Linked DNA regions of Tamandua tetradactyla. The protein of the gene in region 2 binds, or shares a complex with, the protein of the main gene of each other region. Links are inferred from orthologs where the notes say so. Each region holds a gene or a part of one and is shown on either strand. Other genes may lie near its edges. The genes, in order: MYSM1, RBM10 and KIF11.

Region 1 (3,749 bases), on a different chromosome or scaffold from region 2:
CCCAAATTGAATGAGGATGTTTTAATCCACTACGGTTAAAGTCCTTATAAGATAAAGAAATTGGACACAAAAAAAGCTAGAAACCAAAAGAGGAAAGAGAGGAAATTGCCACGTGATGGAAGAGACAAAAAACAAACAAACAAAAAAACCCAAGACACCAGTAAGCAGGTCCAAAACATGATAGTCTCTGGGGAGAAAGGATTGCTTTGCTTGCACATAGATTATGGACTTTTCCTAGCTCCAAAATTGAGTGCCAATAAATTCCTGTTGTTTAAGCTAAACCATTGTATGGTATTCGTTCTAGCAACTGGGAAACTAAGTCTCAGTTTCCTCATCTATTGTGTGATTGACGATACTAGCCATTATCTCAATGGGTTACTGTAACGATTAATGGTCATTTGAGAGTGATTTTTTAATTGTTAAGATCGCTACAAAATAAATGATGCAATCATTAGGTTATATATTTTAAAATAGAGTTTGTTCAGCACTTACATCTCTTTTTAAAAGAGAGAGAGAAAGCATACGTGAAAGCGCAAACGTAAATAACCAGCAGATACGACTTCTTCACATTTGCCACCTTCACAGTTCCCCGAGTATAGCCTAGCTCCAACTTTTCATCAGGCCATTAAAGTATTTGCTGCTATTCCTCTTTTACAAATGATAGAAGGGAACTGCCAAAAAATTTGTCCAAGAACATCAGCTCTCAAAAGCCCAAGGCAGGGACACTTCCCAAGGATCCTGACATTTAAAACGTAAAAGAACTAAACCACACGCCTCCGGGACTTTCCTTCTGGAAGCCACGCCTCCTTGGCCCAGGAGGGGCTTGACGGGACTTCAACCCCTCCCCTTGACGCATCCGGTCCCGCCCCCGGGTCCTCCACCTCTCGCGGGATCTCTCGGGAGGACAGGACCCGGTCCGGCCCCATCATGGCGGCTGAGGAGGCGGATGTGGATATCGAAGGGGACGTAGTGGCAGCGGCGGCACAGACAGGGTGAGGCTGTGAGACGATTCTTACCGGGCGGCGGGAAGAGGGCGCAGATGCGAGGAGAGGACACTGGGAAGCCCACGGACCTGGCAAGGCACGGGGCATCGGAAGACCATCCGCTAGGCCAGGGTCTCCTGGCGGCGGGGCTTGTGGTTCTGGTGGCGCCGCCCGTCGCGCCAACCCATGTGTCCTCACCCTAGCGGGCGACTATTCGGGGCTAGTTTCGAGACTCCTCTTTCGCTTTTCACCGGGTGCTTGTGAGGGCGCCGACTTCGCCTGGCATATTGCACTCGTTCCAGCGTTAGGTGCCTTCTTCCTTCCTCCTCGCTTTAGAATCTTCCCCGGTATCCTCAGTCCCACTGCCCGCCAATGGAACCGAGGCGGTTCCTGGCGGGTCCTGAACGGGACCTCAATGCAGGGACCCTCGTGCCATTACTCTCAAGCCTTGTAACCTTGGGCGAGAACACGTTTCTTCTCCATATGGAGAATAAACTACCTGAGAGGGAGAGTCAGGAGAGTCAGGGTTTTAGAGTTGGACAGTTCTGAGTTTGCTTTCTGCGTTTACTAACACTACCAGCTACTAGCAGTGTGACCTTGGACAAGACACTTGTCTAGCCTCAGACCTCTCATGTGTAAACTGATAATCGTGATATGTACCTCATGGGGTTGTTGAGGATCAAATGAAACTATTATGAAATGTTTTTGCATATTGTAGGGGCTCTGTAAATGTGTTTGGCTATCCGATTACCTTCGGGATGGTAGCGTGAGGACGCGGTGAGGAATCACAGTTTATTTAATAATAATTTCCGCAGAACAGCCCAGTGTGGTTTTAAACAGCAACCTTCAGCTTGGAAGATCTGGTCTATTGATGCGTTACTTTTTCCACTTACTGAGATCAATACGTATCATTTAAAAAGTGTTCTTCTAGAATATAATTTTAGTAGTGGAAGATGTCAAGACTGGCCTGGACATCAGAAAACCTTAGCTCTAAACCCAGCTAGCGATGTTGTTTTAACTGAAAATCTTCATTAATCTGTTAGGTTGAACCATATGAAATTGCCAGTATTCAACCATTTTTTACTCTTTTTTGTAAAATGTCAATTTCATATGGTTCAACCTATTATCAGAACCACTGTTAAATGGGGAGAAGAGTACAACCTGGCCATGAGGGGCAAGATATGGATATAAAAGTGTTTCCTGAACTCTAAAGCCGTATAAAAATGTGAGAGATAATTCAACTCATATAGTAATTTTACATCAAATTTTTGAGGAAAGAAGCCCAAAGTATGCATATGAGTAGGAAGTCTTTAATAACAGTAATTGTTCACAGTTGTGTTGTTTAAAACTTGACCAAATGCTTTTGTGTACTTGATTTAATTTACTTTTCACAAGTCCATGAGGTGGGTGGGCAAGAATTCTTTTGCAGCCCAGAAAGAAATTAATTGGCCTTGGAAGTACTAAATAAAGATCATCTGAAGGCATTAACTGTAGACCATTCTTCTACCATAGATTCTTCTTTATTTTTCTGGTTGTGTTAAATCCCCCACTCCCACCCCCACCCCTTTCCTTCTTCCTCCACTGTTTGGGCCTTAATTCTGCTGGTGCACTTGTGATTATATCAGCCTCCTATAAACAGGATTTCAAAGATTATTGGTTCCTAATGGTCAGAGCCATTACCTCACGTAACTCCAGGGAAGATCATTACCATTATATCATGGAACATGGAGCCTCATAGTTTTGGGGCTTCAGTCATTTGGGATTTATTGTGGATGGTGTCCCCTGAAGTATATACTTAACAACTGATGATAGCATGTGTGAAACATTGGAACATTAATATAAAATACACTTTTTTAGCACTTGCTTAGTGGTAGGTACCAAGGTACCTTTCTTTCCTACTATTCCTTCTCATTCTCCTTTTCTTATGCTTGTCATAGTGTTCCCAAATGGTTTTGTCTTAGGACTTCTCTGCACTGTTCACACAGTCTCAGGTGATACTATCTCAAGGCTTCAACTTCTGGTTGAACCATATGAAATTTCCCCAATTCTACCATTTTTGGCCTACAAAAATCGCAGTTTCATATGTTCAACAAATATGTGCTGATGTTTTCTAAATCTGTCACCAAACCAAATCTCTTTCTTGAGCTTCAGATCAGCTTACCCAATTCCCAAAATAGATCTCTATTTGGATGTCCAGCAGACACCTCAGCTTATCATTTTTCCCTCCTCACCAAATTTGCCTCTCTAGCATCCCCTAGTTAAATAGCGCCAGCATCCACCAGTCACCCAAGGCATAGACCTAGACTTTATCCCTTTTCCTTACCTCCCTCTTTCCACTCACCCAACCCTATTAGTTACTTGGGACCTGCTGATTCAATATGTGTCCTCTCAAATGTATTCATTTCTTCTCACTGCTTGTTCCTTAAGTATAGATTACTACCACTTCTCTCCAGTATTTTTATAATCACTTCCTTGTAACTGCTCCTTGTTTCCTTGGCCCCTTTTATTCTTTCCTGAAGTTAAAGCTGCCTTACATCCAAATCTGATCACTTTATTTACTTCAATCCCTCACTGGATTTTATGACAAAATCCTCATCTGTAACTCCTAAAGATCTGTGTGATCCACGCCACACTTATCTTGTTCATTCATTCATACAGCAAATATTGATTGAAAACATTCTGTATACCAAACTCTAGGAATATAGTAGCTTTCAAAAACTAAGTCCCTCCTCTCTTAGAACTAACATTATTGGTTAAGACAATGAA
Region 2 (3,749 bases):
ATCCTGATAGGGCCTGCGGGGGCTGCTGGGGCCCCTCCTTAGCCGCTGGCTCCGTTTCACTTCCCAGCCACCCCCACTGCTGCCACCATGATCTGCCAGCCTGGGTGATTCCTCCTGTAGGGACTCTAGGGAGATGGGAGGAAAGAAAGGGGTCAAGGCAGCTGGGGCAGAAAAGGTCTCCTTGAGAAACTCTGGTTGTCCAGATATTTTGCTGTTCTTTAGCCTGGGACATTGTTTTCCAACTCCTAGTACTCCTGTAGACCAAAATGGGAATACAACTACTGCTTGGCCTCCTTCTTCCTTTCTCCACAAACACGTGGCTAGAGCCCTCTCCCTAGAAATAGCAAGACCGTCATCAGATAGGAGAGCATCTTGTAGAGAGAGCTGGAACACTCAGAGGGGCCACAGACCTCGGAGACTGGAGGGGTAGTGATGTCACCCACCCATCCAGTATTCAGGGATTTGCCACCTGAGACTTGTAGACAAGCTGCCTGCCCAGGGGAGCGCTTAGCGCTGAATGACCTGCCACAGAATAGACACTTTAAGTACAGAGGTGAGACTCCACAGCAAGGGGAGTCTCAGGCATCCACCAGGCTCCTTCTAGGCCCCCAGGAGCCATTTCGTCCTCCTAACAAGATTCTGCAAGGGGACAGGAAGGAGACCATGAAACATTCTTGGGTGAGGAGGGGGGTGGGGGCTAATTTGGCAACGAGATAGCTGCTGTCTCACTAGGCTCCTGGCCAGCTCAGCTTTGGCTCTCACAGGGCAATTGGGTCAAACTAATATTCAGCCAGGTCCCAAAGTGGCTCTCTCCCCAGGGTTTGGGCCCAAGTCTTCTCAGACGTAACAGGGGCCCTTTCAGAGGCTGTTTCAAACCACTGTGCTATTCTGCTAGGCCAGAGGAGCAGTCAGTCAACTCACTCAACCCTGAGGGTTGCGGAGCCATGTGACCCAGCCAAGGGTCATGATATATCCTGAATCTTCAGGCCCCACCCTGTGAACAGGAATCTGAGAAAAGCCTATCGGTTACAGCACCTGCCCAACACTAGGATGCCACCACACCTTTCCCCATGCATACACACACCAATTTTCTCTTCCTCCTCAAGCCACAGGGAACCAGAGTTACCTATCTCCAGATACCTAAAGATTAGAATCACAACCAGGGGTCCACTTGGATGAAACCCAGATACAGGCTCTGGCAAAGGAACCAGAGCCACAACAGATAGAGGCCAAAGTCACAGATACGAGCCCCAAATAACTACAGGCAGAAATCACAGATAGAGACCCGCAATAAATAAGGGCCATAATCACACACTGAGCTCCCTTTCAATGGATAAGTATCACAGTCACAGATAGAAACCTCTCAAAAGAAGGGGCAATAAACCACACATACACTCCCTACACTCAATAAGTGGGTTAGGGCCTAGACACTGCCCCCCCACCCCCTACCCCACATGAGTAAGGACCAGAGTCACAGACATACCCTAGGGATAAAGAGCGGAGTCGTACAAACTATGAGCCCCCGCCGGCTCACGAATAAGGACCAGAGCCACAAAACATGTCCCCACTGATAGACAGGTACCAGTCACATAGACCGAGCAGACAGCACATCCCCTCCCCTGTGGATAAAAACTAAAGTCGCAGACACCCGACTCTCCAGGGATAAAGCCCAGCGTCACTGACAGTAAGCCACAGTAACCCACTCCCATCCTTCCCTCCCTTCCCCCAACTCGCGTGCACCCATCCCCGTGGTCCCAATCGCGCACGCGCCTTTGGTCTCAAAGGGGAAAAAAAAAAAGTCACCCTCTCCCGGGTTCAGACTGTGCACTCATCCCTCAGTTCCGCGCACCCTCCAGGCCCCTGGCCCGCAGTCCTTCCTTGCGCTCCTCTACGCACCCCGTTTCCCAGCCCCTTACCTCCACCCTCAAGACCAGCGTCGACGCTCACCTTCTCGGTCCGGGCTGTCACGGGAGGGCTCCCAGACATCACCTCGGCCCGTCGCCACCGCATCCAACTCTCCCAGCTCAGCCGGAGCTGGTCAGCGTAACCACCAAGTCCGTGGCTGGAGGCAGAGGGGAGGAGGAGGGGAGAAAGGGGAAGGGAGAAGCGCCAGACGCGCTACCCTCCCCGGAAAACCCACTGCCACCTACTCCCAGTCGATCTCAAACAGCCACACAAAATGGCGACGACGAGAAGGGAACCGGTGCTTCGACCACCATCCACCTACTAAGGGAGCGCGCTCCGCCGGTCCTCGTCTATTGGTCGCCGCCCGCGGTCGGCCAACCCTGGCCTCCTCTGATTGGCAAGCGAATGCCACCTCCCCACTCCCGCGTGCGAACGCCCGCAAGTCGAGAAAAAGAGTGGCCATTGGTCAATCCCGCGAGGCCCGCTTCTTAGAAGCTTGGCTTCCTTTGAAGATGAAAGGCAAACGGAAGCCCCGCCCCTTCCCCAAACAGCAAGGGAACTCGCTGTGCGATTGGCTGTGAACCACCCAAATGACACCGCTTTTTTCCCATCAAGGAAGAGAGCAGACCTGTCAATAAGAAACTCCTCAGCCCGAAGGAGAGGATAAGAGAAGGGTTGGTCCCTCCAGGACATGACAGAGAGAGGGAAAGAGGGCCACGCAGCGCCCCGCCTCATTTGAAAAGAAAATCAGACCTGAGACTTATTTACTGCGGCGGCGGCGGAGCGACAAATATCGCGCACGCGCAAACTGCAGCTGCGCAGAATCGCATTGCCGTCCCCGCCCCTAAGTTACTACGGAGCAATCTATCATGGCGGTCGGGCAACTAGGTTTGTACGCTCGCCGCATTTTGGCTGCAGCTGCGACGCGGGGGCTCCCGGCTGCCCGTGTCCGTTGGGAATCCGGCTCTTCTCGGGCTGTAGTCGCTCCACCTGTCGTGGCGGAGAAGCGTACTCGGGAACCGACCATACGCTGGCAGGAGGACCCGGATCCCGAGGACGAAAACCTCTACGAGAAGGTGAGAGGGAGGGGGAACTAGGACGTCGAAAGGGTCAATCGGGAGCAGGCTGACGGAGCGCAGTAGAGGACGTTCTTAGTTGACCGAAGGTTGCGCAGCTGGCGAAATCCTCTATGAATTTTGCCTAGCTTGTTCGCCTAATTTGTCCCCTGAGAGTCTGGTCTAGGGCCAGATGCGGGATTGGCATTATTTTGCAGACAGAAATCAAACTTGAAGTGGGCAATTCTCAAACCACGTTAGAAGCAATATAGTATAACAACAATAATATTAAACACCAATATGGCGCTTATTCTGCCAGGCAGTGTTCTAAGGACTTTATATGCATTAGCTCATCTAAGAAGCAATAATGTTTTGAGATAGACACTATTATATACCCATTTTACAGATGCGAGAACAAGCGCAGGGATGTTAGATGCTTGTCTCAGCTAACATAACATAACTGAATACATGGTGGAAATAGGTATTTGAACCTAGGTCTACTGGTCTGCTGTCCTGTATTAATAACAGACTCTAAAGTCAAATGGCCTGGGTTCGGATCCAGACACTTAATAGTTACTCATTTGTGTGACCTTGGGCAAGTGGTTCAACCTCTTGTGCCTAAGTTTTCTTTGTAAAATGGGGAAGTAATAAAAACACTATCTAAAGAATAGAATACTATACCTGCCTCATGCAATTAAATTAACCAAAATGGTCAGAACAGCAGCTTGTACTTGGTAAGTACTCAGCTTTAGAAGCTGTAAATTATTATTGGCACTTTCTGCCTGTTGG
Region 3 (3,749 bases), on a different chromosome or scaffold from region 2:
ATGCGGCTAAAGCTTTTCCTATTATTTCTGGCATCCCTAAGTCTAGAGGTGATTAAGCCACTTAATATCACTCCAGTTGTCAAGTCAGAGTATGAAAATCACAGAGATCAAACATTCCTAAGTTATCAAACTCCCAGAGAGGTGCTTTGGAAACTGTCTATACTACAAGAAAGTACTGCCAAGCTACTAATTTCCTATCCAGACTTCTCTAATCAGAAGTCATAAGGTTTCTGCTGATCATCCTAACAAACTCATCATTTAGTTGGCCTCTCTATAGTTATATAAAAATTAAAACACTCAAATGATGAAGGGAGATTGAGGACTTAAAAACAAAACTAAAGTCCTGTCCTGTGAAGTGCTAAATTAATCCATTCAACAAATATTCATCAAGTACCTATTACGTGATAGACTGTTCTAGACATTGGGGATATAGCAGTGAACCAGACTAAGTTTCTGTTTTCTGTGAGTTTTCATCCTAGTTTTGGGGGAAGAGTGGGATGAAATGATGAACAAATGAATATTTTAGGTGGTGATAAATTAGAAAAGAAAACAAAGCAGATTGGAGGATGGCAAGTGATGATAAGGGAAAATAGCTGAAATTCTAGGGTGATCAGGAAGGTTTCTCTGATAAGTTGACACTAAACAGAATCTAAAATAATAAGGGAGCCAGCCAATGTAATTATTTTGACAAAGACAGAGAACAGAAGTTGCAAAGGCCCTGAGGTAGAAGCATGGGGGATGTGCTTAAGGGAAGGAAAGAAAAAATATATGTGGGAGATGTGCGGATTGGCAGAGCATCAGAAAGATAGCCAGTTGCTAGATCATGCAGTGATCTAAAAACTTTAGCCTGTAGACCAAATCTGGCTGTTGCCCTGCTAGCAACCTAAGATCTGGTTTGTTAAAAAAAAAAAAAAAATCAGAGAATGTGTGACAAAGAGTGTATGAGCCAGCAAAACCTAAAAATGTTTACTATTTGGGTCCTTTCCTAAAAAGGGTCACCAACCCCTGAGGGTCTTCCCATTCACAAATTCTTTATTTACTAACGCTTAAGCACAAATACTTGCACTCAAAAGGCTATTTGAAAGAAGAAAGATTAACCTGAAAAGAAGAAAAAATGCTCCAATACTAAAATTATTGTAAATATCAGACACTGCCTAAGTGCATTTCATTGGTGATAGGGTAAAAAAAATGTCTTTTGAGGTAAGGCTTGAAATATGGGGGGATAAGAAACACTAAGTTCAGGATAATGGCTAACTCTAGGTGAACAAAGAGGAATTGAGGAGGGGTACACAGGGGGTTCTACCTGTAATGATGTTTTGCTTCTTAACCTGGGCAGTGGGTACACAGATATTTGCTACATTGTTCTTTACAAGTTTCTGTAGGTATGAAATATTTTGTAACAATAAAAAAGAAATCAAATTAAAAAATATATATACAGACAGTAATATGGCCTAGCTTTTTCTTCTCTTTTCTTTTTTTTTTTTTTTGCCTAACTTTAAACAGCCAAAATAATCTTAAAATTTGCATTTGTAACATGGGCTGTTGAAAAAAAAATTCAAAACAAGTAACTATTTAGTTGCAGCCCTAGAGTACAGCTGGTGAGTGTAAATTGGCTAGACTCAAGGTTATCACCAAATATCTTCTCTGGCACGTAGTTTAGAAATCTGGCTCTCACTTTTGATACTCAGATCGTCAGAGCTGAGTAATAGCCTAGGAAAGTCTGTGGGTATAGTTCTTTTTAATAAATTTTTTTATATTGTAAGTTCTAGATTTCCAAAAAAGTTGCAGGTAGTTGTACACATAGTTTTAAAAACAAAAACAGACATACAAAACATAGACCAGCAAACTGATCAAGACCGCTAAAAAGTTTAATAAATCATCTTTAATTAAGCACCAGTTTATACAAGTACGCTCTTCCTAGACTATTTAAAGGGAACAGACGATTACATTTTTAGAGGTGAAGGAGATGAAGCATAAGTGCTAAAACATCTGCAAAGTAGGTATGCAGTCTTATTTCCAAACTGACAAACCGAATGGAGTAGCACATAAAAGTGGAACCTAAATCTTTATCGGCAGTAGTTAAAAAAAAATAAGAATGCAATTTCCAATAAAGAACAAGGATCAAATTCGCCTTCTGATAGCAGTTTAAATATCATATTAATACAAGCACCCGTATTTTCTCCAAAACAGAGGCGATGACAATACTAATTTACTCCCTACAGGAACCTGGTGTCGTTTTTACGGAAGTGCAACTTAACCAAGGAAGGTTTGGCCCCCTCCAGGAATGCAAACAAAACCCCTCTCCCCGGACCGCCCTGGAGGGAGCTCAACAGCAAAGCCCGGGCGCCGCGAATCCTGCCAGTCACTCTACCTGCATCTCACCACCACCTGGATGTTCTTCCCCTTCTCCTCTTTCTTCTTCGCAGACGAATTCGGCTGGGACGCCATGACGTGCCGCGTCAAAAAAAATCAAGGTCTGACCGCAGGCTCGGACCCTGCGGGGTGCAAAGGGACAGGCGGCCGTCGCGCCCACCTCCCCGGCTGGGCCCTGACTCAACCCGGGAGAACCGACGCACGCAGCTCGGCGCCTCCGCTCTCCACCAGGGACTCTGACAGACCGCAGCTTCTGCCCAGGACCAGCCAAACTCGCCACCCGAAGTCCGAAAAACCAAACGACTACGCGCCTCAATTTGAAAACCGAGCTGAGTCGCAGGGCCAATCGCAGCGCGGCGGCGCAAGGCACCATGGGGCCGCGTTGTCGCGTGGGCCACGCCTCCGGGGCTGGCCTGCCGGGAAAGGAAGCTCCGCTGTAGGCGCCGCTGCGAACTCGTCATCAGTGCGGCAAACGCACGAGTAGAGGGCGTGGCGGTGCTGCGTGGCTTTCAGGTTCAGACTCAAGTTGCTACGTCAAACTCTGGCTGCGCCACTTGCCAACTGGATGTCTTTTCTCAAGTTATGTAACGTTTCTAAACCAAACTTTCCTCACTTGCAAAATGGAAGTAATAGTAATGGCCTCCGAGGGTTGTGGTGAGAATAAACTGCGTGTAAGAACGTACACTGTGTCTAGAACACAGCAAACGATCAGGAAGAGTGGCTGTGATGGTTTAAGTATTAGAAAATTGCAAGAGAGTGGTATGGGACGCACAGAGGAGAGAGGCCCAAACACTCTTTAGCGGTGCAAAACGAGCTCTGAAGGTAGCGGCAAGGGCTGTCTTCCGAGGGTAAGAAATAAGGCTCCCACAGGCACCAAGTCGTCATGAAATAGCCTTTAATGTCATTTTAAGAACTCTGAATTTACCCTTCATTACATGAACTCAAGCAAGAAGGCCAGATCAGATTTCCGTTTTGGAACAGCCGCTCTTTAGTGGTAGACGCATTCGGAGCGCTTCCCTCCAACCAGCAGGCGCAGCACTCGCCAGCGTCCCGAGGACTTCGCGCAATACCCGCCCGCCGTCCGCCTACGAACCCCAGCGTGCAGAGCTGCCCGGCCCGCCGACCTTTGGTGGCCTCGGTCTTTACGTACGTGGGTTATGGAAGTTGGTGGTGCTTGGGGTGACTGAGCCACTTCAGGTGTGGGTTCCGGCCCAAGAAATATTGGGCCAGGGCTCATAGGCGGCTCCTGTAGCTACGCTTCTGGGCCACAGAAACCTAAGGGCCACAGAAACCTAAATGTTTTCGTTTCTTAGTAAAAACAACGGCCTGGTGGAGAGGAAAGCTCTCAACTGCCCTCAGTGTTCCTCCATTGACTA

Evidence for each region.
Region 1: RBM10 (region 2) and MYSM1 share a complex: the UniProt entries of both Homo sapiens proteins name them as parts of the large chromatin remodeling complex. The link is inferred for Tamandua tetradactyla from reciprocal best matches to the Homo sapiens genes RBM10 and MYSM1.
Region 3: RBM10 (region 2) and KIF11 share a complex: the UniProt entries of both Homo sapiens proteins name them as parts of the large chromatin remodeling complex. The link is inferred for Tamandua tetradactyla from reciprocal best matches to the Homo sapiens genes RBM10 and KIF11.

The regions. Positions count from the first base shown.
Region 1 is NC_135328.1:162,155,423-162,159,171, forward strand, and holds the start of MYSM1 (deubiquitinase MYSM1), read left to right. Parts: upstream 1-884; 5' UTR 885-927; coding exon 928-992; intron 993-3,453; exon of another isoform or gene 3,454-3,749. UniProt on the Homo sapiens protein: Metalloprotease with deubiquitinase activity that plays important regulator roles in hematopoietic stem cell function, blood cell production and immune response.
Region 2 is NC_135353.1:123,093,133-123,096,881, forward strand, and holds the start of RBM10 (RNA-binding protein 10), read right to left. Parts: upstream 2,531-3,749; 5' UTR 2,228-2,530; intron 2,063-2,227; 5' UTR 2,011-2,062; coding exon 1,917-2,010; intron 126-1,916; coding exon 1-125. Other genes in the region: NDUFB11 (NADH dehydrogenase [ubiquinone] 1 beta subcomplex subunit 11, mitochondrial), read left to right, coding at 2,775-2,981. UniProt on the Homo sapiens protein: Binds to ssRNA containing the consensus sequence 5'-AGGUAA-3'. May be involved in post-transcriptional processing, most probably in mRNA splicing. Binds to RNA homopolymers, with a preference for poly(G) and poly(U) and little for poly(A).
Region 3 is NC_135339.1:52,599,824-52,603,572, forward strand, and holds the start of KIF11 (kinesin-like protein KIF11), read right to left. Parts: upstream 2,738-3,749; 5' UTR 2,449-2,737; coding exon 2,372-2,448; intron 1-2,371. UniProt on the Homo sapiens protein: Motor protein required for establishing a bipolar spindle and thus contributing to chromosome congression during mitosis. Required in non-mitotic cells for transport of secretory proteins from the Golgi complex to the cell surface.